2 linked regions of the Bombyx mori genome follow. The protein of the gene in region 1 purifies or fractionates together with the protein of each later gene. This does not show direct contact. Links are inferred from orthologs where the notes say so. Each region holds a gene or a part of one and is shown on either strand. Other genes may lie near its edges.

Evidence for each region.
Region 2: the proteins of syntaxin-17 (region 1) and vesicle-associated membrane protein 7-like purify together in Drosophila melanogaster (affinity purification with western blotting; 4 studies listed by BioGRID, with this or other methods). This does not show direct contact. The link is inferred for Bombyx mori from reciprocal best matches to the Drosophila melanogaster genes Syx17 and Vamp7.

What each region holds. Positions count from the first base shown.
Region 1 is NC_085130.1:9,434,627-9,438,915, forward strand, and holds the start of syntaxin-17, read right to left. Parts: upstream 3,112-4,289; 5' UTR 2,939-3,111; coding exon 2,819-2,938; intron 1,828-2,818; coding exon 1,632-1,827; intron 1,551-1,631; coding exon 1,491-1,550; intron 1,240-1,490; exon of another isoform or gene 1,040-1,239; coding exon of another isoform or gene 1-1,039. Other genes in the region: uncharacterized protein LOC105842541, read left to right, coding at 1-1,039.
Region 2 is NC_085119.1:6,314,988-6,319,496, forward strand, and holds the start of vesicle-associated membrane protein 7-like, read right to left. Parts: upstream 3,035-4,509; 5' UTR 2,845-3,034; coding exon 2,641-2,844; intron 1,800-2,640; coding exon 1,616-1,799; intron 928-1,615; coding exon 869-927; intron 1-868.

The sequences.
Region 1 (4,289 bases):
ACGCCAGAGTTACTGGCCCTTAGGAGGCAGAAATCTGTCTAAGACTGTCGTCAGAAACTGCTTAAAATGTTTTAGGTATAGAGCACAAAATGTTCAACCTATCATGGGTCAATTACCTAAAACTCGTACTGATTTACAATTTCCTTTCTTGAATTGTAGTGTGGATTATGCTGGGCCAATTTTGATCGCTGATCGTAAAGGGCGAGGCTGTAAATTAGTAAAATCATACTTATGCATTTTTGTGTGCCTTGCAGTAAAAGCTGTTCATATCGAGCTCGTCACCGCATTGTCATCGGAGGCGTACATAGCTGCTCTCAAAAGATTCGTGTCTCGTCGAGGCAAGCCCCGCAGCATATGGTCCGACAATGGGACAAATTTTGTTGGTGCTTGCAACGAACTCAAAGGCGTCCTTTCAAACTCAGACATTGCGTCATTCATGTCTCAAGAAGGCATAGATTTTAGTTTTTCTCCACCTTATTCCCCTCATTTTAATGGTCTGGCTGAAGCAGCGGTTAAGGCCACTAAAGGCCATCTCAAAAAACTCCTCAGTCTTACTCACCTCACGTATGAAGAAATGTCTTCGTGCTTATGTCAAATTGAGGCCATTCTAAATTCCCGTCCACTTACTCCTATTTCCTCTGATCCGTTAGATTTAACTGCCCTTACTCCTGCTCACTTTCTGATTGGACGACCGCTCACGTCAGTTCCGCACCCGCAGATTACCGACGGCAACATCACGCGCTTGGAGCGCTACCAACGAGTGGAACTCATCAGGCAGCATTTTTGGAAGCGCTTTATTAATGAATACATTTCTCTGCTGCAGCAGAAATCTAAATGGTCCACCTCTACAGGGAGCTTGATACCAGGGACGCTAGTCCTTGTGAAGGACAGGACGCTACCGGCTCTGTTGTGGCCTTTGGGCCGCATTACCAAGACGTATCCGGGCAGCGACGGCATCACACGGGTCGCAGAGGTCAAGACGAGGACGGGGACCGTGGTGCGAGGCTTCAACTCCATCTGCCCCCTCCCTCTTCATTGAAGTACCCATATATACTTCAACCCGGGCAGTCTGTCGATGCACGGACATCGACGATCGCGCGGCGCGGGCGCCGGGAGGAGGACAGCGGCGCGGGGTAGCGGATTGACACCGGCTTCGTCACTCCGTGCAGCAACGCCGCCCGCGACACTTACTTGTTTTTATCTTGTTTTACTCTTTTTATAAACTTACCAAATAATACAGTCCGCTCTTTTATTTTATATATCACCGGTCTACCCCAGAGCAGTTCGAAACAGAAATACGTTCACCGTTTAACTTAAACACAGGTACTCTATGCGCAGTGTTATGTAGCAAGTTATCTTACAGACGGCATATTATTTCTAAGCGTGTTTGACAAAAACAGTACCATTCAAGTTTAATTAGTAAAATGAATGAAATGTAGCACAGTGTTACTTCAAGTTCCAACAAGAATGCATTTCTTAGTTATTCTCACCGATCGGTCGAGAGCTCGCCCTGCGCGACACTAGCGCCCTACAACTGCTTTCAATAATACCTAAAATTTTGTGGGAGCCAAGTAAATTATACATGTATGTTACGTTTGGGGGAGCAGGAGAGTGCGGGGCTGTACGCTCACCCAGGTAGTCCATGATCGCTTTGAGCGTGTTGTCCCGGGAGCTCCGGGTGAGCGCGTCGAAGCGCGGCAGGTCGTCGAGCCGCACGCGTCGCCGCAGCGCCTCCAGCTCGCCGAGCAGCGCGCGCAGCTGCGACGCCACCCGCCGCGCGTGCGTCTGCTCGCTTCGGACTCGCGCGTACTCGCCGCCCTCCTCATACTGTTCACAAACTAGACACAGTTCAGCTCTCCTTGTCAACAAACCGTTACCATTTGTCCATGATTGTGATTAAAAACACGTGACTAACTCTTCAATTAGTCATATGTAACAAACAAGTGTAAAATATTCAAAACTTGGAACAATAGATTTAAGACTAGATTAACAATAGATTGGGAATGCACTTAGATGTATATATGTATATATATATATATATATATAATCCATTTTTTCTCCTCCCTAATTGCTGGCAGCGTAAACTACATAAAAGAAAAGGTAGATTCTGCTGAGAGTACCTTAACGCCCTAATCAACATTGTCTACATCTCATTTACTTATAGTCCACATGACTTATTGAACTATAAGAAGAAAAAAATAAGGTTTAACTGTTTCTTAACCAACCAACCATATATTGTTGAAATCAAGATAAGGAAGAACAGCAAGAGCCAAAAGATTTTAGGTAAATTTGGAATAATTATTACTTTTAATTTTATAATTATTTCAGAATATAGAAATTACATAAATTGATGGTAGAAATCTTGTTTTTTTAAATTTAGTAAATCTAGCCTATGGTTGGAATTAAAAAATACTGCAAGCTTAAAACAAATCTTAATTACTTATGTTTCTAATTGTAAATTGAACTGAACATAAAAATAGAGACTGAATGCTTTCTATTTTATTATCCACAAGAATGCCTTGTGAATACTTATGACTGGGTTTGCCATATAAAGCTATTTACAAATTCTAGAGTTGTATCAGTTTTGAGCGTAACACAAAAAAGATTAATAGTTTTTATAAAAAAATGACGTTTGCTTTTTCTATACATTCTTCTATTCCACAGATGTTTAAACTATTTTTAGCTCACAGAGAGCTCAACATCACAACTACAAAATACTGCGCATAAAATGGAAACGATTATGAAACAACTTTCAACTTCGATAGGCTTTAAATTCATAAACATAAACTATACCCACAATTAATACAAATTTACGCACTTTGATAATATTAGCCTTGTGCTGCCGTAGTAAATCCAGATGATGTGGAATTGCAACTTCATTAAACTTCGTTAATGAAAATTCTACTCTTTTTAAAGGCAGCTTGTCTTCTTCTTCCATTCTTTATTACAATTTTCTCAGGATAAGAATTTATAGAGATCTTTAAAATATAGAAGATGAAATTTCAATTTGCTCAAACAAAAATAAACATTGTTTATCTATCTATCTCTTAGGTTTATGGCGTTTCCTTTTAGATTTTTGTTTTCATTTTCATCTCAACTTTAATCCCATTGTCAAAATAATGTCAAATGTCAAAATATTTCATCTGTACCCTTTTTTCATTTTTAACAGGAAAAGCGAAGGAATCATACCATAAAACCGGATCTTTTATATTTTCTGTTAATTGAAAAATAACGTAGTTTAGAAGTCGTCGTGGCCTAAAGGATAAGACGTTTGGTGCATTCGTGTTGAGCGATGTACGGGGTGTTCGAAACCCAGGCGGGTACCAATTTTTCTAATGAAATACGTACTCAACAAATGTTCACGATTGACTTCCATGGTGAAGGAATAACATCGTGTAATAAACCAAAATCAAACCCGCAAATTTTAATTTGCGTAATTACTGGTGGTAGGACCTCTAATAAGTTTACGCGGGTAGCTACCACCACCCTGCCTATTTCTGTCGCAGTAATGCGTTTCGGTTTGTAGGGTGGGGCAGCCGTTGTAACTATACTGAGACCTTAGAACTTATATCTCAAGGTGGGTGGCGCATTTACGTTGTGGATGTCTATGGGCTCCAGTAACCACTTAATACCAGGTGGGCTGTGAGCTCGTCCAACCATCTAAGCAATAAAAAATAAAATAAAAAACTCATTCTATAAAGAAATATTTTCATTTGAATTATTAAAGAGACTGTGATATTATGATGTTTTAATGAATTTGCGTAATCACTGGTGGTAGGACCTCTTGTGAGTCCGCACGGGTAGGTACCACCACCCTGCCTATTTCTGCTGTGAAGCAGTAGTGCGTTTCGATTTGAAGGGTGGGGCAGCCGTTGTAACTACACTGAGATCTTAGAACTCATACCTCGAGGTGGGTGGCGGCATTTACGTTGTAGATGTCTGAGCTCCGGTAACCACTTAACATTAGATGGACCGTGAGCTCGTCCATCCATCTAATCAATAAAAAAAAAGTGAAAATAATAGGGATTCAATAAGATGACGTTGATTTATTAGAGACTGTAATCAATTGGAATGAAATTAAATGAAATGAGACTCAATTCATTTAATTGCTGAGACTTTATCCCATCCCGTTTCAATGGGATGAAATAAAGTCTCAGTAAAATGATGGTTATTTGCAAAGACTAGTTTGCACGTAGACAAGAAACCACCACGTCCAGTGACTATTTCATTTTCCCACATTCATGCAGTTTCACCGATTCTAAACAATTAATAAGCCACCGCTATTACAA
Region 2 (4,509 bases), on another chromosome or scaffold:
TGATGGTATGACCTCTTGAGAGTCCGTACGAGTAGATACCACCACACTGCCTATTTCTGCCGTGAAGCAGTAATGCGTTTCGGTATGAAGGGTGGGGCAGCCGTTGTAACTATACTGAGACCTTAGAACTTAAATCTCAAGGTGGGTGGCGCATTTACGTTGTAGATGTCTATAGGCTCTAGTAACCACTTAACACCAGGTGGGCTATGAGCTCGTCCACCCATCTAAGCAATAAAAAAATAAAAAACTTGATTTGGTAATAGATTTTGTTTATACGAGTCATCTATTATCAAAGGTGGCAATCTGTGCATTTGGACAAAAAAATGTTATTGATATGTCAATACAGATTGATTTGAATATAATCGTCTCCTTCAAAGAATACGGTTCAAAACCTGCTTAAATAAAGGTTAATACTTAACCTGTTATTTATCTAAGATGTCGTGCAGAAGAGTTTTGTGACTGCCAATGGAATACAAAGTCAATAATTCGTTTTTCTGATTTACCAATAATTGTCCAAAAGTCACATTGCCGGCTTTGATAATAGTCGACTCATACATACTATTTAATAGGTATTCTGTGAATTTTTTTCCATTTAAAATGTTGAAACTGATAGTCTTTTTTTCCGCCGCATTCATACATCCGGCAGAGACATTTATAACGAGCGAAACTAAATAAAATCAAAATTAAAGGCAACCCCGTATTTCTCCCGCGGAGCAGTAAGGATCCCCGTTTGAAGGGTGGTCCTTGTTATACTGTAGAACAGAGTTAGAAATCATGTCTCGAGACAATGGCATTTACGTTATTCATGCTTATGAGAGAAATAGCTAATGACTATATTTTGTAGGCTTAATGTCTTATGTAAACTTACACTGTACGATAAACTATCGATGCTATCAACTAAAAGCATTTTCTCGCCGAGAATTGTTTCTGAAAAGAAAAAAAAACTAATTTAAAATTAAATGTAGTTTAAGAACCCGTACGTTCAATTACAAACCGTACCAACAAATAATTTTATCTTTATTTTGTACCTTTTTTGAATACCGGTCAGGATTTCAGAGCGATTAGAGCAATTAAAATTATTGTTTAGCTAACGGTCCTTCATTCGTGTACAAACTTTCTGATTAGTGGTCGGTACGTCTTAAAATCGATGCAAATCACATTATAAAGAAGACATACAAACATACATACGTATAATTGGAATTTAATTGTTATTATAAAAAAAATATAGACACATTTTTTAGATATTGCTGCTTTCATCGACCTCGCCATGTTGCCATTTTGTTTTATTATTATTTCTCTCTTTCTTACAAATTTCTCTCACTCACACCTTAACACTCCGTTCCACGCTCTTTCCATACGTTCCGTTCTCAACCATCCTACATATTTACCAAACTATTTAATAAATAACTAAAAATTTATTGACACATTTTTTACACATCGCTCACTTCATCGTCCTCGCGGTCTTGCTTTTTTTATTATTATTTCTCTCTATTTCTCACAAATTTCTCTCACTCACACCTTAACACTCCGTTCCACGCTCTTTCCATAGGTTCCGTTCTTAACCATCCTACATATTTACAAAGCTGTTTAATAAAAAATGTTTAAAAAAACTTACCACTCCTTTCAACGCTGATCCTGTTCAATTCATCCAGTTCGCCATTTCTTATAACTATAGTACTGTAATCTTCATTGTATCGGTACATTTCCTCTGCCAGTATATGTTCGAAATTTTTTACGTATTCAGCAAATCGTCTCTGGATTTGATTTAAGAATAAAAATGCCCTTGATCTCTGACAGCTCTGTTAAGAAAATACATTTGATTTGAAGACTATAGAAAAAATATTTACATAATTCTGACTTAAGCTAACATAAGGGAACTTTATGCGAATAACGACGTGTGCTTCTCTCATATTTAACAGAAAATCTTTACACAATCTTGCACATACAGAAATATGTAAATAAAGTTTCTTCAATTTTCAACTGACGTATATGTTTAGTTTCAATATTCAACCTATTTAATAAGTGGCAATCGTTCGTCCAAATTTTCTCTGTGCTATGTGTTCAGAAGATATATGGGACAACAATAAGTGCACCAGATCGAATAACTAATATCTTTAAGAAATTTATTGACGAGAACGAAATAAAAAAAAAACAAGTTTTAAACACCGGCCACAATAAAAATGAGATATTTTCGTTTTATACTATTCGTTTTTTTTTCTACCTATTCTAGTAACCTCGAGGGGCTATTCTAGATTCAGTAAGTGAGCTCACGGGGCTCAACCGGAAGTGTTGCTAACACTGGCCCTAGCAAGAGCAGTGCTTCGCAGAATCTACCACCGGATCGGAAACGCGACCCACTGAGAAGATCCGGCGAGAAACTCAGTGGGCTGTGTCTGTGGGTTAATTTACTCGTCGAGCCCTTCGTCGCAAGCGACGGGTTCGGCGAGGACGGTGACCGGTGCTTGAGGTACCTAAAAGCACCGTTAATGGATCGGGAGGATCCGTAATGACGTGTTTTGAGCAATTCGAATGTATTGGACGACATTATCAATGAACTTTCAGAACAATATTTATATTCTATTTTTTCATGTATGTTTTTTAACTTGTAAGAAGTCCTTTTCAAACGAAATCGTAACTTACCTTTTCTGTAATACAAAGAAATATATTTTTCTTGTGAACAACATAGTGAATCAAATATTTTCCGTGAAGGTACGTCATCTTGTGATCATGTACCGGTATTTTTGAGACCATTCGTTCGGATATCTCCACGAAGTTACCATCGCAGGTTGCGAATTTCGAAACGACTCGTTTATCACACGCTATCACACTGAATAATATAGGCATTATAAATATGACTACAAATTATTATCACTGTTCACACCATTTGACGCTTTCACTATTATTATCAGTTTCAATAATTTTTTTGAAGAATATTGTTTAACTGCTGCATTACAAGAGTACAAACCGCAACTATACGATGTGGCGTCCTCTCGATCCGCCCACGGTTTAAAGATTTTGAATGTCCAAACGCAATGCGTTAAGGATGTCATTCGTTTTTTGACGGAAATAAAACAGATCTAGTCACATTAGCCAGTGTTCTCTGTATTTTGTTTAACCGATGCGATATCAAGACTCTGGTAACCTTTTGTTACCAAATGGACCGACGTGTGCGCAAAAATGTTCATTATAAAACAGATTTGTTTAATCTGTGCATGCATTATTCTTCAAATTTAATTCAACAAAATATTCATTGGTTTTGTTTAAAGAAAAAACCCAGTAATACAAGACTTGTATTTGTTTGTGTCTAAAAATATAAGAGGAATTATCTTAAAAACTGAAAATTTGGTCTTGTTGCTATGACAAGAGTCCGCGATATCTATATATTAATACGTGAAGCAAAAACTTTGTATCCCTTTTTACGAAAATTGCGCGGACGGAGGAGTATGAAATTTTCCACACTTATAGAGAATATAGAGAAGAAGTGCACAATGCTAATATTTTTTTAAAATAATGCATAAAAGATACATTAAATCAATAAAGAAAACATTACACACACTACATACCATGTATTTGACGCACACACGCATGCATACTATTTATTGTCCAACTTTTGTTCTTGACCTCTGTTGTCAGATTGAGAATAGATTAAATATTGTTAGTCTTTGTTAATATTTTTTATAGTGTAGTCTTGGCGAAATTTGTGACTATAGAAGTATAAAATACAATAATAATAGTGTACAAACTTACAATTCCAATTAATTATAGTCGAATTTCGACTACTGCGGGACCTCTAGTATTAATAAAATCACTTGCTTACAGTAAGTCGGTTAAGTGTAGTATATTCTATGCCAATAAGACAATAACTGTGGCCAACATTTAGTATGCTGCTGCCAGATGTTGATAGAATTAGGGGACGCGATACTAAATCTACTTATGAAGGAAAAATGTTTCCTTTATTAAAAATAATGGAATGAAATCTTCCTCGAAGCAACATATACTACAACAACGCGAACAATAAAACACACATTAATAATTTATTAAGCTAAGCTTATCTACATTGGCGGATTTTTTAATTTATAACATTCTTTCGTGACATTCGTATACCAAAAACAACTGAAAAAAAATCAAAATAATCATGTTATTATGAATCACCAGTATCACTTTTGTTTTTCATCTTCAAGAACAAACAAACACCTCCTTTTTACCATAAGGATATGGATTGTTACCGATATTTTTACATACCTACTTGATGCTTGTGGGTTACAGAAAAAAAAAAACGAGAAAATCGAACGTTTGACAACCCTGCATTGAAAAATTCAGTATCGCACAAATATCACACGATCGTTCTAAAATAAATTTCCGTGTCGGCCGAAGCTAAAATCGTTTCGTGCTCGCTAAAACTGTCACCGTACATAAATTGATCAGTTTTAAGAGACATGTGCAGACAAGCGTGCCACGCATGTGCTCAACTTGCTTCTTTGAGATAATTGAATATTATTTGCCTACGTA